2 linked regions of the Kluyveromyces lactis genome follow. The protein of the gene in region 1 purifies or fractionates together with the protein of each later gene. This does not show direct contact. Links are inferred from orthologs where the notes say so. Each region holds a gene or a part of one and is shown in the gene's direction. Other genes may lie near its edges.

What was found. Proteins that work in one complex are often made in the same cells at the same time.
Region 2: the proteins of COX18 (region 1) and COX2 purify together in Saccharomyces cerevisiae (affinity purification with western blotting; 3 studies listed by BioGRID, with this or other methods). This does not show direct contact. The link is inferred for Kluyveromyces lactis from reciprocal best matches to the Saccharomyces cerevisiae genes COX18 and COX2.

Annotation. Positions count from the first base shown.
Region 1 is NC_006038.1:705,686-708,773, forward strand, and holds COX18 (membrane insertase COX18), read left to right. Parts: upstream 1-1,626; coding exon 1,627-2,568; downstream 2,569-3,088. Other genes in the region: glutathione-disulfide reductase GRX8, read right to left, coding at 1-311; transcription elongation factor SPT4, read left to right, coding at 871-1,179; KLLA0_B08041g (uncharacterized protein), read right to left, coding at 2,695-2,964. UniProt on the Saccharomyces cerevisiae protein: Required for the insertion of integral membrane proteins into the mitochondrial inner membrane. Essential for the activity and assembly of cytochrome c oxidase.
Region 2 is NC_006077.1:34,298-36,982, reverse strand, and holds COX2 (cytochrome c oxidase subunit 2), read left to right. Parts: upstream 1-1,276; coding exon 1,277-2,047; downstream 2,048-2,685. Other genes in the region: VAR1 (ribosomal small subunit protein), read left to right, coding at 1-344. UniProt on the Saccharomyces cerevisiae protein: Component of the cytochrome c oxidase, the last enzyme in the mitochondrial electron transport chain which drives oxidative phosphorylation.

The DNA of each region.
Region 1 (3,088 bases):
AACTCTTCTTTCAAAGTACCATTCCTTTCAAATCTCGCTAACTCTGATTCAGTACCCCAAACCTTACCATCAACGTACAAAGTTGGCAAGTTTCTTGAGCCAGTGGCCTTTTGAAATGCATCTCTGATTTCATTCCATTCGGATCTACTGTTAGTCACTTCAGCAATATCATAATTGAAGATCTTGTCCGTAACGCCGAATTTCTTCCATATGGAATTGGAATATACACAATCAGGACACCATCCCGCACTCAATTGAACAAACTTGTGAGAAGAAACTACTTCACGGGCGATAGCAATATACTTAGACATCCTCTGTAAATTGACTAGTTCTTTCCTGATGATATGAGAATTACTTTACCGAGAATAAGCTACATTCTGTTCACATTTGGGGGATGACCCTCATCTTATATAACAGAAAGGTTGAAATCTTCAAGTTTCTTTTGAAAATCTGACCTTTAAATATTCATTAAGACCATCCACAGTTTTTCCGTGCTGAAACTCCGCCATTCCCACAGAAAAGACACCGTTGATGCCACTAAGAATTGAAATACGGTAGTATGTCTCTAACGCGTGCGAACAGTTGCATCTAGTAAAGGGTATAACATGATGTAGTTTCGTTCCCTGTATGTGGCATTTTACTCTGTTTGGGGTATTATACAGATTTGTTGTTACCCTGATTATGATCTTTATCAACGAGCATCGATTCTCAGTTTTCCAATTTGAAAAAGCTGTAAGCATCAAGCTACATACTCACATTAGGTAAGTTAATGCGATCTTTTATGGGTAAGAACCAGTTCATACGTTGTGATTAGAGCTGGAATCAAAGCCTCAATATATATAAGAACATATCATCGAAAAGAGTGGGGAAATGTCAACGGACAGAGCTTGTATGTTATGTGGACTGGTGCAATCGACTGCTGAATTCAATAGGAATGGGTGCCCGAACTGTCAATCGATCTTTGAAGAGGCAGGTGTTTCGGCTGTTGAATGTACTTCCCCATCTTTTGAAGGTTTGGTTGGTATGTGTAAACCTAGCAGGTCGTGGGTAGCGAGATGGATGAGTATTGACAGTTATATTCCAGGAATGTACGCTGTCAAAATTGATGGTCGTTTACCAATAGAGGTAACGGAACTTTTGCCTCACTATAAACCGAGAGATGGAAGTCAAGTTGATTAATTTTAAGCACTTGTTAAGCACTTGTCTGTTTTAGTTTTTTTATGTTGAAATCGTCATGGGGCCGTTTTGGTGCCCCCATTTATTAATTTCCTCTTGCATCCTATAAGGTGGCTCCCTTATTACATGTATATTTATCCTTCGAAATATATCAAATGTTCTGTACTATATCTATTAAACCAAAAAAAAAGTTGAATTGAAAAGCGCAATCGCTGTATCAATCTATCTATATCTATGTTACCGAATATCTAAAGGATCTGGCGTAAAATTGGTGGTTGTACCCCATGTCCACTATGATTTTTGATCATTTCAACATTTTTTGTCATTTCAAAGATCATCCATTAAACTACAATTTTCTATCAAATGCAGTACATCTTTGCTCGCCTTGAAAGGTGAAGTAAAGAGTCCAGATTGAGATTGGATCGGTATCTTGGGGGTTTTACATCAACTATGTTACTTCGAAGATTACCTGCCGTACATTTTGCGAAGGGTTCGAGACAATTTGGATCATTGCAAGCTATTGCTGATAGTTTTGTACAGTTACACGATGCCTCTGGAGTACCATGGTTAGTACTCATACCAACTGCCACTTTTGCATTGAGAACGGTGTTCACTTTACCACTAAGTATATGGCAAAGGAAACGTATAGTGAAGCAGCAAGAGCTTCGGAAAGTTGTGCAAAGTGTTCCCCCTGTGGTGAAGCTAAGATTGGCTTCGATGACTGCGAAGGCTAATGACGAAGAATTGACAAGTTCTGGTAGTGCAATACAAACTAAAGAGGAAACGGTCGGAGCGCTTCAAAGAGGAAAAAGGCAGTTAACGCCAGATCAAATAACGATGTTATCGTTGAAAGAAATGCGTAAGAGACAAAAAGTTTTATTCAAAAAATACAACGTACAGATGTGGAAGAATAGTGTTCTACCGTTAGTTCAAGTCCCTCTATGGGTGACTATGTCAATGGGGCTTAGGAAGCTTACTGATAGTAGGTTAGTGGACACAAATATGCCTCACGCACATGTATTACAAGATCTTTCAGAGACAAGTTGGTTAACTCATATAGGTTCTTTAGACCTAAGTTTGCCCTTGGACGCAGCACCAATGCTAATACCCATCATTTTAGGAACCGTTTCGATGATCAATGTTGAGTATAACGGTAAGACGATGCAAGCAACTGCAGTAGGAACTTCTGGCATTACCACTGCTACTGACACACAATCGAGAACGTCACAGACGGTAAACAGTATCCTCACAGCGACTAGACTAAGCACAATTTTTCTAATTGGGGTCTCCACGCAGGCTTCGGTCTTACTTTCACTATATTGGATCACATCTCAGGTTTATTCGTTGATTCAGAACAGAATTCTCGATTTGCTATGGCCATATCAGAGATAATGGAGCTTCTATCTTTTAACACATATAAGTTAATTTAATCGTTTATAAAACTTTCACTGTACATAGTTAATATTTCTGTTTAGCAAACAGTGGTCTTTGTTCGAAGCTTCACAGCAAGATGGGTCCTTATTTCTTCTTGCCCTCTAGCTTCTTTTCTTGCTTTGCCAACTCCTTACGGGTACCCTTCAATAGCTCGAGATGACCAACACGACTTGATATTAGTCTTTCAGTGGATTCTGTAATAGAGTATGTCTTGTTCAATTTTTTCAAATGCTGAAGAGATTGTTTCTTTGATTTGATCTGTAGTGGAGCTGCTTTCTTTAAGTTCTTTTGTTTCTTAGTAACCCTGCGTGGGTCCTTAGCCTTCTTTGTCACTTTCAAAGCTTTTTGCGGCATATTCAAATACTCGACTGGTGTGGGATCAAATTACTGGTACTGATGTAGCCTCTAAATGCTGTCACCTTACAAACTTATGTCTGAGATGATGAGATGAGATGAGATGAGATGTTAGTTATAAGAT
Region 2 (2,685 bases), on another chromosome or scaffold:
CCTCTCCTGGTAATCCCAGGGGAGGAGCCGCGGGGAAATTATATAATATTATTTATGAAAATAATAATATTAATACTATCCCTAATAATATTTTAATGTTTAAATATTTAGTAGGATGATCAATTCAATTAAAAGGTAGATTATCTAATAATAAATCTATTTCTAGATCTAATACAATGAATATTTTAAATGGTACATTCCAAAACTATAAATATATTTGAGGTAATCAAATGGTTAATAATTATAAATTAAATTATATCCCTGTTAACCATAATATTACTAATATTTCTGATGTTAATAAAAATGGTAAATATAATATTAAAGTTAAATTAAATACTATTTAATTTATTAATTAATAATAATAAATAAATAATCAATATTCTTCCCCCACGCGGCATTACCCTAGGGTAATGCCGCGTGGGGCTTCTTTCTTTATATTATAATTATATAATTATATAATATATAATAAATTAATATATACATATAATCCCCCCTTCATATTATATGAAGGGGGGGGTAAAAATATAAATATTTTATAATATATAATAAATTAATATATATCTTTCCCGCGTTCTCCTTACTATTTCCTTAAGGACCTCTAAATACTAATAAAAATTAATTTTATATTATTAATTTTATATATAAATAAATATATAATATACATTTTCCCGCGGGGTATAATACTTATTATTAGTATTAATAATTTATTTATTTATTTATTTATTTATTTATTAATTTATTTATAATACTTTTCCCGCGGACTTATTCCCTGGAATTCCAGGGAATAAGCCGCGGGGTGTATAAATAATTTTATATACTCTTCTCCCGGGGACTCCTTCCCATAAGGTGTATACCTGGGAAGAGTCCCCGGAGTTAATATAATTAATAAACCCCACCCCCTTTAAGGGGGGTGGGGAGGAATACGCAATTGGGGGAATTTATAATAATTATTATATAATATTATTATATAGATATAAGTAAGTATAATATTATTATAATAATAATAATAGAGATTAGCTTAATTGGCAGAGCATTCGTTTTACACGCGAAGGACATGAGTTCAAATCTCGTATCTCTAATATATATTAAATATATCAATTAAAATATAAAAATTTAATAATAATATATCAATATACTTATTTAATATTATTATAATTATTTATAATAATTTATTATTAATAAGTTTTTTTCCTAATTGCGAACTCATCAAAACATTAGTTGGATGAGTTCGCGGGAGAATAATATATTAATCAATGTAATATCTAATATATAGAATATATATAGATTAAAAAAAATTATAAATATGTTTTATTTATTAAATTCAATTATTATGAATGATGTACCTACACCTTATGGTATGTATTTCCAAGATTCAGCTACACCTAATCAAGAAGGTATTTTAGAATTACATGATAATATTATGTTCTATTTATTTATTATTTTAGGATTAGTATCATGATTATTATTTACAATTGTAAGAACTTATAGTAAAAATCCTATTGCTTATAAATATATTAAACATGGTCAAACTATTGAAATTATTTGAACAATTTTCCCTGCTGTAATTTTATTAATTATTGCTTTCCCTTCATTCATTTTATTATATTTATGTGATGAAGTTATTTCTCCAGCAATGACTATTAAAGCTATTGGTTTACAATGATATTGAAAATATGAATACTCAGATTTCATTAATGATAATGGTGAAACAGTAGAATTTGAATCATATGTTATTCCTGAAGATTTATTAGAAGATGGTCAATTAAGATTATTAGATACTGATACTTCAGTAGTAGTACCTGTTGATACACATATTAGATTTGTTGTTACAGCAGCTGATGTTATTCATGATTTTGCTGTACCTAGTTTAGGTATTAAAATTGATGCAGCTCCTGGTAGATTAAATCAAGTATCAGCTTTAATTCAAAGAGAAGGTGTATTCTATGGACAATGTTCAGAAATTTGTGGACAATCACATTCAGCTATGCCTATTAAAATTGAAGCAGTTTCATTACCAGCATTCTTAGAATGATTAAATGAACAATAATTATATAATTTATAATTAATAAATTATATATAATAATATTCTTTCCCTGCAAACCCTACAATATTATTAGGGGTTTCCCCACGGTCACCTTCCCGACCCACAAGGAGACGGGGATTCTTACTTATTTTATATCCCGCGGATTCATGTTATGAATCCGCGGAATTATTATATTATATTATATTATATTATATTATATTTTTAAATATAATAATAATTATATATAAATAAGAGTATAAAAATAATTTATTGATCTCATGCTATACTCCCCCCCCTTCCTGTCGCACACGATTGGTGCGCAGATATTGAAGGGGGGGAGTAGGGAGTAATAAATTTAGGATAACCATTATTATAATAATTAATTATTATAATAATATTTTTCCCCCGCGGTCTCTCACCCTACGAATGTAGGGTGATGAGCCGCGGGGTAATTCTTATTTATTATATATTATAATATTAATAATAAACCCCCGCGGACTCCTTTAAAGGAGTCCGCGGGAAAAGTATTATCCGCGCCTCATCCATTATAAAGGATGAGGCGCGGATTAATATACATATATATATTTTAATATAATTATATATTATATTTATTTATAATATTATTATTTATTATATAAAATAATACTAATGAGGGGGGCTTA